Linked DNA regions of Mus musculus: regions 1 and 2 are each reported to be linked to region 3. The links are microRNA targets in miRTarBase. Many come from high-throughput screens and were not tested one by one. Region 3 holds a microRNA gene; each other region holds the end of a gene's coding sequence.
The links. Region 3 holds the annotated microRNA mmu-miR-568 (AUGUAUAAAUGUAUACACAC, at 1,860-1,879, shown strand). A microRNA usually pairs through its seed, bases 2 to 8, with sites in the 3' UTR of a target mRNA and lowers its output. Matches are read on the target gene's strand: a 7mer-m8 pairs with bases 2 to 8, a 7mer-A1 pairs with bases 2 to 7 and ends in A, and an 8mer does both.

Region 1 (3,261 bases), not on the chromosome of region 3:
AAATTATGACTAATTTACTATGTAGACATCCAGATAAACAAACCCCAACCTAACCACCCGCTTTCCCCTGGTCATTTGTAAATCGACAGTGCCTCCTACAGGAATTATCACGTCACCGTTGCGTTAAACAGGCTAGGGAGAATTGGAGCATGTCCCTAAAATTCAAAATTTGTCCAATACCTTTGCATACAGGTTCACATCGAGGGAAAAAGTGTCGAGTACCCAGATTTATTTAAAAGATTTTCTCTATTAAGGGTAAGAAGAATGACATATTTCATGTCTGGATTTGTGGAGTTTCCTTTGGATTCATTGAATTTAGAGGATTCCTCTTAGGCTACTTACTAGATCATGCCCAGTCCCATGCCTCAGTATCGCCAGCACATGCAGACACAGTGAGCTTCGGGAAGGCTGTTGTTCCATGTTTGTGTGTGTGAGAATGCCTCCCCTTCCATCTGTAAGTCAGAACAGGCCCATTGCGGTTGTCTAGCATCTGTGGGTGGCCAAGGCCCAAACCTAAACTGCAGATGCACATGATCTGTAACCACTGGGAAATTTCTCTTAGAATTGGGTGGGTAAGATTAGCCCTTTTAAAATTATTCCCTTATGTTTTAATATTCTCAACAGGAAGGATTAAATTAGAGATTAAAATAAAAACCTTAGGGGCTACCTTGTAAAGTTAAGGGTGGTATCACATTTTGGTGAAAGTCAAAAGTATAAGAAAGTGTATTTCTTTAATTCATTCTTAATTATAGGATGCATTTCAACGTTTTTCTTCATGAACACTATATTGGTTTGGAACCCTCTTTTAAGGCAGTAAGTATTGCATAGGTTTTGACATTACAAAAATTATAAAGTCTAAAAAGGTGTACGGCAGGAAATAATCACTGCAACACTGATGAACTCGGTGTAAATTAGCCTTTATCAATTTCAAATGCATGCTTTTCTAAGTGAAGGAGTAGGATCTGAGGTGTGCTGAGATAGTAAAGGATATGGGAAGGAGTTCAGCTCCTCTCTAGTTCCCTTCACGTGCATAATCAAAGGACTATTTACATCATAGATGCAGCTACATCACAGGACATCTGTTTGTGTGCATAGAGAAATATTAGATATGGAATAGTTTGAACTCCTTCCAAATTTATTTTCTTACACTACTTGGAAATTGTGATGGCTATCTAAACCATTTTTGTACTAGACAAAATAAAAAATAAAACCCTGATTTAAAAAAAATACATTCACAATAGGCAAAAAAGTTTTAGTTGCATATAATCTGCATTTTTTATTGAAAATTTCCATAGTTTTCTCTTCTTCTAATCCTTTGGAACATATGGCAAAATGTATAGCTAAGTTTTTAAAAAAAAACAAAACACCTTATATGTTGGCTTGGTCTACATAGTGAGTTTCAGGCTAGCAAGAGCTACATAGTAATGGGAAGACCCTGTCTCAAAGAGAAACCGTTCCCTCCACTCCCAACATACACCTTTAAATACAAAATATCTAGTTTACATTATTTCTTTGTAATATGTTTTACCTCCTGAAGAAAAACTTTGCAATGTCAACCAGAAAGGCTATTGTGGGAGGAGACAGAATAACACTCCCCTCAAGATATACATGTTTCCAACCCCCCCCCCCCGCCCCCTCCCCCAAGCCATGAATATGTTACATTTACAGGTGCAAAGTTAAGGTTGATAATCAGTTGGTCTTAAATGTGGACCTGCTATACTCACAGGGTCCTTACCAAGTGAAGGAGGGTGCAGTTAGTGTCAGACTGACTCCAGGACTTGGAAACAGGGGAGTTCTCTTCGTTAGAAAAGGGAGCCAACCACCAAAACTGGGCACCATGGATTTTCTGAAGGAAGACATTCTACCCATGCCTTCATCTTATCCTAGTGAGACCCATGCCAGAATTCTGATTTTCACAACTGTTAAGTTTGAAGTGATTTTGTTTGCCAACATAGACAAATAACAGGACATCCAATTATAAATATCATACTTTTAAAGTCTTAAGGACATGCTTTTTGATATCCAGTATTTTATTCACCCTAGTCAGTTTCAACAATGATTACATTTTGCTTCAAGCATATTCAAATCTTAAAATAACAAATTTGAATTGATAATTATTCAAGATTCTGTCACTGTTTTAATGGTGTTTCAAAACAACAACAAAATCACACAATTACGTACATATTTTAAATCTGGTATAAGGCAGAAGAAACAACTACCAACAAGAAAACCACCACTACCACCACCATCACCACCACCACAACAACAACAAAACAAAAACTACTTGTATACCCTAAATTCCCTGCAAATATCTGCAAACTTAAGCTTGTGGTACAACAGTGCTTTAATACTTGAAACAACAGTTTACAGAGATGGAAAATGAATTGACTTTTTTTATTAGATAACAATGTGTATGTTAGCCCTTGCTAAAGATGTCCTTGATGCCCAGGTGGTTGCTCCGAAGCTCTGTTGAGCCTGCTGCCTCTCCCTTTATCTCCTGGGCGCTCAGCGCACGTGCTCTCTTCTATGGTCACCTTCACCATGGCTTCTGGTGCCCTTTCTTCCCTTCTGCTCTTCACTAGGGCTCCGGTGTGGCCGGCTCCTCACCTCCCTGTGCTTCTGACGGTAAGGACTCCTGCTTCTGCTTCGCCGGCTGCTCTCAGCCCGGCTACGGCTCCGACTTCGGATTCCCCGATTTCTGTCAGACCCTTTCTTCTCTGGACTGTGCCGGTGGCTTCTGGATGTCCGGTCAGAAGCAGAATGGACCCACATGCTATTCTCCCCAGAACTCTCTTGTTTTGGAAACCTTAATTTTTCCTGGGCTTTTCCCCTGTCACTGTGACTGCTGGAAAGTTCTTCGTAAAGCATGTTCTTAGGCTTGTCCTCCTTACAGTCACTGGATTTACTTTCAGAACATTTGGTTTTCTTCTTCTTCTTCCTCTTCTCTTTCTCTCTTTTCTTTTCTTTGTTATCACTCTCACTGCTGCTATCTGATGTCTCCGAGGAGGAGGAAGAGGAAGAGGAGGAGGAGGAGGAGGAAGAGGAGGAAGAGGAGGAAGAGGAGGAAGAGGAAGGGGATTTGTTTTTACGTTTCTTGTGTTTATTTTTGCTCTTCTGTAACTTCTTCTTTTTCTTATCACTTTTCTTTTTCTTTTTTTTCTTTTCAAGTCTATCCAATTTCCTGTAGTTGGAAAGAAATAGTTCTTTCATCAACAAAAAAGAAACTGTTAACAGACTATATCTTCTTAAATGCTACTAAAA
Region 2 (3,261 bases), not on the chromosome of region 3:
GAGTGAGTTCCAGGACAGCCAGGGCTACACAGAGAAGCCCTGTCTCGAAAAAACAAAACAAAACAAAAAAACAAAAAAAAAGAAGAAGAAAAAAATTTAGATAATATTGTGGGAAATAAGGAGTAAATAAAGTGATTACAACTAAGCTAGTAATTGGTGATTTAGTTGATTATTACCATGAAATATTTGGTGTTAGGGTTTATTTGAGCCAGCCATTCCTTGCCGAACATCCCACTGTGGTTAAAATAAATTTTCGGCTGGGGCATGATGCCACATGCAGCACCTGGCAGAAAGACGCAGGAGTACAGTCAAGAGGGACATTAGGAGTTCAATCAAGGTCATCCACACAGCAAGTTTAGAGACCAGCCTGGATCACATGAGACCTTGCTAAATTCCTGCTAAAAACAAAATAAACCCAAGAATTTCTCTATTAAATTATCTTATGACTTGAGCTTTTTTCTTCTTTTTACATTTCCTACTTTTGTAATCAGGTGAATCACAAGGAAAACGCCTTACTAAAGGAACTGAAACAGGAAAGGGTTAGTCTCTAGAGGTTGAAGTCTTCTCTGGGTGGTAGAGCACCTGTTGTTGGGAATTTATTTGGAGTGCTGAGCAGCCACAGTTCCGGTTGAAAAATCAGAAGAGTTGAATGATTGCTTGTGATTTGTATCTGGGTTTTGTTTTGAATGTGCTTAATTAGTTTACTTTTTTACTTTGCCTCTAGATCCCAAAAGGATAATCACTTACAATGAAGCCATGGATAGTCCAGATCAATGAAGGACCAGACTGCCTATTTGTAATCTTTCTGCAGCATTAGAGCCACCGTTCATGTGGGACACAAGGCTTTTATGCTCCTAGATCTTCAACGCAGCAGAGGAACCATAAGTAGAATCACAGGATAATATATACAAATATATATATATATATACATATATATATATAGTTATTTAAAAAAAGGCAACTGAAAGTAATTAGACTTCTTAAGGAATCAAATTTATTTCAAGAGACTACACATGGTTATTTAATCTCCGGTACTGAATAGTCCTTTTCTTTATTATTTTGTTAGTTTTTGTTTTTAAGTGTGAATGCAAGTGATTAATGAATACAGACTTAACAAGCGTGGTTCTAAAGTTCCTGCTGTCATCTACTTGGGCAACAAATGACCCACTGGAAAGGCAAATCCACTTACTTCTAGGTATCTGTACCTTGTTCTGTGACTAAAGTGATACACTAATCACGGGGAACCCAGAATGATTCAACATTTTCCCCTACTCCACCCTTGATCTTTTAGTTTTGAGCCCTGCGAGAATGCTGGATAAATGCCTTGAAGTTTGCAGGGATGTTTTTTGTTGTTTGTTTTTTGTTGGTTTTTTTTTGTTTGTTTTAATACAATGATTTGCATGTCTTGCCAAGAGTTCTGCAGCCTATGTGGGGTGTTGGGGAAATAGTTCCTTTCCTTTTATTTTTTGTTGGGTGGGGACAGGGGGAGGGCATTGAAGTTCTACAATCCTGGAATAGTTTGTGGGTATATAGTTAACTTACTTTGGTTACATGTTTGGACTTTTAACATCTAAGAGTGTCATTCAAAAAAAAGTTGCAGAACAAGTAATTGGCTGATAATTACCCATTGTAATTGTGTAACTGGGAGCAAAAATATATTCTGCTTTTCTGCTGTAGGTGCTCTGACTTGCTCTCTGTCACTAACACTAAGTGTATACTCTTGTTTTTCATCAACCATTTAAGAGAAACGTATGTACCTTTCTGTAAATTCTTTTAATTTCAGTTTCTCAGCAAAATCGAAAAAAGAAAAAAAAAATTAATGAAAACTGTCTTGTTTTTTTAGCCAGTGAGGAGGTAATAAATCCTGATTGTAGAAGGTGTGTTTTCAGGCAAATTCTGCTTCTGAGCTTACTTGTTTCTGATTATATCTTAATATATTTTATCATTAGAGCAAGATTGGGTTCCTTTGGTTATTTTTTTCTTTCTTTCTTTCTTTTTTTTTTTTTTTAAGAAAAATAATGTGAAATTCTGAATTTTGTTTTGGGCAGAAAGAGCATTAGCCCTGTCTTATCATCGCATTACCATCCTGTTGTGCTGCAGCTTGTGTATAGCATGCGCGCGCGTGTCTGTGTGTCTGTGTCTGTGTGTGTGTGTGTGTGTGTGTGTGTGTGTGTGTGTGTGTGTGTGTGTGTGTGTGTGTAGAAACGAAGGGTCCAATATAAGACTGGGTGATGTTAGTGGCATAAAAACAAGTTCTCTGGCCTGATGTAGCAACACATCACACACATAACACATACAGAGAAATCAATGTATCCATGTATGTCAAATACAAGTTAAACTAGCAGGGCATTTATACAGTTGCAGTCTTCTAACAAAGGCAAACTGGATCCCCTAGACACTTTTGGGGGAGAAAGTAGTTACTTTTTACTCTTGTTTTCTAAGAAATGTCCAGTTTTGAGCGATTGTAGTGTGGATGGATTTTCTGGTTTTGTTAACTATTTCAGGTTTTTAACAAATGTTCATGAAAGAAGCTATTTGATTTACTGCAGAGAAAAATACTTTTTAGTCTGGATTTCTGCCCTGCTTAGATTTTTTTTTTTTAAGTATAAGCATGGATTGCCAATTCCACTTGATGTAAACAAAACTTTTTATACATAATATATATAATAACTTATTGTATCAGTCCAGGTTCAGAAACTTGTGGTAGGCCAGTTTCAGATAGTTTCATTTCACCTGTAAACTGTATCACTTTTACTGATATTGTAATTTTCAAATGTATAATATGTTTACAGATGTGCCCTGCATTTAGTCGCTTTGTTCCTATTTTGATTTTTTGTTTTTGTTGTTTGTTTTTGTTGTTGAGTCTCCTGCCTGCTTGCCAAAAGCTAGGATGCTTCAGGCCGGTGTACATCAGTGAGGCATCCTTGAGCTTTAAAGCATTGAACAAACTGGAAAATGCAACACGCCACATATTGAACTGAGTCTGTGTTTTGTGTTCTTTTTTTTTTTTTTTAATAAAAATTTTCAGAAAATTTAAAAAAAAAATCTTGATTAAAGAAAAACGAGGCTCCAGTTTGTTTTATAGGTTTTAAAGTTCTGCTGTGTGTTTAATTGCCTTGTGTGACCACTTGTCGCCTTAGGGCTGAATCCTTACCCCACTTTTTTTTAAATGTCCATTTTGCTTGCCTGGAATTTAAAAGTTCTTCTGTTGCACAAATCACAAAAACAAAACAAAAATATATTTCCTTGGTTTATGTCGTA
Region 3 (3,261 bases):
TCAGGAGGTAAAGCAAGGGACCACTCAGCACAAGGGCTCTTGCTGCCCGCCTCCTCTTTGACTCTGTGGATCGTCCATCCATCTGCTCACTGTGAAGATGGAGAGGCAGTGCGCCCTGAGGCTGTTCAATAGCTTTTCCATATTTTTTCAACATTGAAAAAATAATTTTTAAAAACTGTGATATTTAAAAAAAAAAAAATCATTTGGCTGGAGGGAAGGGAAAAGGGAAACACCAAAAGCTGTAACATGATTAACTGGAGATATTTATAACTGGGGCACTTTCCAGACCAAGACAAATGAATTGTTTTCTGGACCCGAAAGCAGCCAAATTTTAAGACTGTCAGTGACAAAAAGCTGAAGAGAGGCCTCCATTTCTCCTCCTTTCTTCTTTCTGTCCCAAATTCTCTCATTTTCTCTTCTAGCTTCTCTTGGTAACTGTCCAATGGACTTCATACTTCATGCAAAATCCCGCGCATGCACGCGAGCGCGCACGCATGCGCGTGTACACACACACACACACACACACACACACACACACACACACACAAGCAAAAAAAAAAACTATTTTTCTTAAGGATTGTGGGACTAAATTTAAAGTCATGTGCCTTCATTTTTTTCCCTTTTATAGTTAAATGAACCTCTTCCTTTTTTACAATGTGTTGGGTTTTGTTTTGTTTTTAGTAGAAGGGGAAGGTTAAAGTGTTTGTGGAAGAGAGGATTTTTAGGCATCAACTGGGAGATTTTTTTAGCATATTCCCCCACTAAATATTAAACACAAACATCTCAATCCCTCCACGTGTCACTGTGCACACTTAGAGCATCAAGGAATCAGAATCCGACAGCCTAATCCACTTGATTTTAGAGAAGTTCCTGAAATTTCTATTTCCTAGACTTTTTTATTGTTCTTATTTTATCACAGTGAGGTGAGCAAGGCAAGTTGCCTCGTTCTCCCAACTCGGTGCTTCTGCTTGTGGGGTGGGGGTGGGGCGGTATAGACAAGGGTGCACTCCTAAAGCTCTCTGGTGCTGAAGGGCCTCAAGGTTGAGTTTCTTTCAGAAAATGTGTATGGCACACTCTCAAGTGCACACGTGAACGGTGTCATGCGCACTATTTTTAAAGGACAAGGGAAGGGGCTCTGAAGTGGGTTTTGCTTTCTCTCATGACATTTGATTTCCCTGGTGCCTTATTCCTATTCTATGCTGGCACTCACATGCCCACAGGAACACACGCTGATGTCAGCCCCAGGAGTGAGGACCTCTAGGTGACAGTTGAGCATGTGGGGACCATCGGATATTGGGGTCAGTTGGTAGGGGAGGAACTAGATGGCTGAAAATACACAGGGACTGCACAAGCCCATCACAGTCAAGATTAGTAATGCTCATATGTGAGTATGTGCAATACATGCACACACAAACACACACACAGACACACACAGAGATGCACACACAAACACCAAATACACTCTTCTTCCTCTGAACATTGCTTCCTTCTTCATTTCCTGTCTTTGCCTTCTCATAAAGGTGCTGCTTGCTGCTGCTGCTGAGGTGCCCGGAGTCCAGAATGCCCAGTAATCACTCAGGCACAAGCCTGGCACTGCCACGTTCAGTCCTTGGCAAGACCAAACCCTGGTTTCTCTTGCCTGGGGCTGAAAACCGTCAGATTTTTCTCATCAAAAAAAAAAAAAAAAAGTTATCCAAGGAATCAGTGGATTATAGTTACTCTGCATTAAAAATGCACTTTAAAAATAAATAAAAGCTCCAGACTGTTTAAAACACACAGAGGGAACAGGAGAAAGATAAACGTGCTAGTGTCTGAACCCAGTTCAGCATATCTCCAGTTGAAACAGTATACACTATATTATGTATAAATGTATACACACTTCTATATATGTCCACATATATGCGGTGTGTGTATTATACAGGTATAGGTGTGTGTGCACGCACACAGGTGCACATAGCATATCAAGTGTTCATTACAAATCCAGATGCTCATTTCACAAACAGCAGCAGAGGAAACAAGGTTGGACTCTTGCAGCAGATCACAAAACAATAAAAACAGCCACTTGCGGTGACGCTGGTCACTGCTGTGTGTTCATAAGGAATGGATTGTAACAAAGGAAAACAAGGAGCAGTGTTAGCAATTGAGGAAAACTGGGACAGACCATCTTGATCCAATGGGAATGCAGTAATGTTCTCTACCATTTCATCCGTTCTTTCTGTTAGTCGTGACGATTTGATTTTCATTTTTGCCTATTAAAAATGGTTTAGATTCAAGTGACCACATCCAAGTGAACAAAACAACCACAGTGAAAGTCCTTTTCAGTAGGAAGATGTCAGAAAACTCAAAACCCTTGGCCTGGCTCAGAACTACCATGTGCAAACCAGAACTCTCTCAACGTTTGAAATAAAAACTTTAAAACTCTTTTTGAAGCACCTTAACGTGGCCATCCATTTGACAAGTGGGTGCCACCTTTTTCTTTGAGCACCTTATTGACGTATTTTGCTATCTGCTGTCTTCTGTTACTGTTGGCTGAATAGCTAGCTGTTAACACACACACATGTGCACAGACCAGACATCTGAGCATGCGTGTTCTCAATGACGTTTACCGTGGTGACTGCTGGAAGGTGAACTCATTTTCTGATTTGCCCACCACAGTGTTGTGATAAGACTCGAAGAAACCCTGCCCTGCACGGAAAAATGTCCCTTATCACGTTGTATATTAGGGTGGGAAGGAATATGGTCCCCTTTTTGCAATTGCTACTGTGTATACATACACATGCACACACACACACACACACACACACACACACACACACACACACACACACACTGTATATTCAGACATGATGTACACACACAAACATAACTCATTTGTCCAAGTGATATTTCAGATGTTTCTGTGGGTGTCACACACCATGTGCAGTTTTCCACTTCCCAGAGAATTTTGAGTGGAGGGTAACTTTTCAGACTGATGAACGGGGCACTGAGGAAGAGTTTGAAGTGGGAGGCAAGAAAGGAGAGAGCATTAAGTCAAAAGAATAATTTCCCAAGAGAAGCTGGAGGAATGGCTGTCCTTGCAGGTGGGTGTGGAACACTGCTGTCTCAGTCTGCACTGTAGAAATCCATGCACACATCAACACACACACACACACACACACACACACACATACACACATCCCCCCACAGGGGCGTGGTCTGGGATGAGCAGGTCAATAGTTTTGAGAGGGAGTTTGTTCCTTTTTTTTCTCTCATTATACTCTT

Region 1: miRTarBase lists Cir1 as a target of mmu-miR-568. Seed matches in the 3' UTR shown: 7mer-A1 at 2,285-2,291.
Region 2: miRTarBase lists Nufip2 as a target of mmu-miR-568. Seed matches in the 3' UTR shown: 7mer-A1 at 905-911, 7mer-m8 at 2,351-2,357 and 7mer-m8 at 2,649-2,655.

The regions. Positions count from the first base shown.
Region 1 is chr2:73,281,855-73,285,115 of GRCm38, forward strand. Cir1 (corepressor interacting with RBPJ, 1) reads right to left here. Exons shown (of 10, transcript NM_025854.3): 10 at 2,018-3,181. The coding sequence ends at 2,506. Among named protein-coding and RNA genes, the nearest start is that of Sp9, 12 kb to the left of the region's middle.
Region 2 is chr11:77,708,959-77,712,219 of GRCm38, forward strand. It overlaps Nufip2 (nuclear fragile X mental retardation protein interacting protein 2), which reads left to right. Exons shown (of 4, transcript NM_001024205.2): 4 at 725-3,261. The coding sequence ends at 777. Among named protein-coding and RNA genes, the nearest start is that of Cryba1, 15 kb to the right of the region's middle.
Region 3 is chr16:43,638,806-43,642,066 of GRCm38, forward strand. It overlaps Mir568 (microRNA 568), which reads left to right and starts at 1,850; the gene lies at 1,850-1,932. It also overlaps a transcript of Tigit not described here.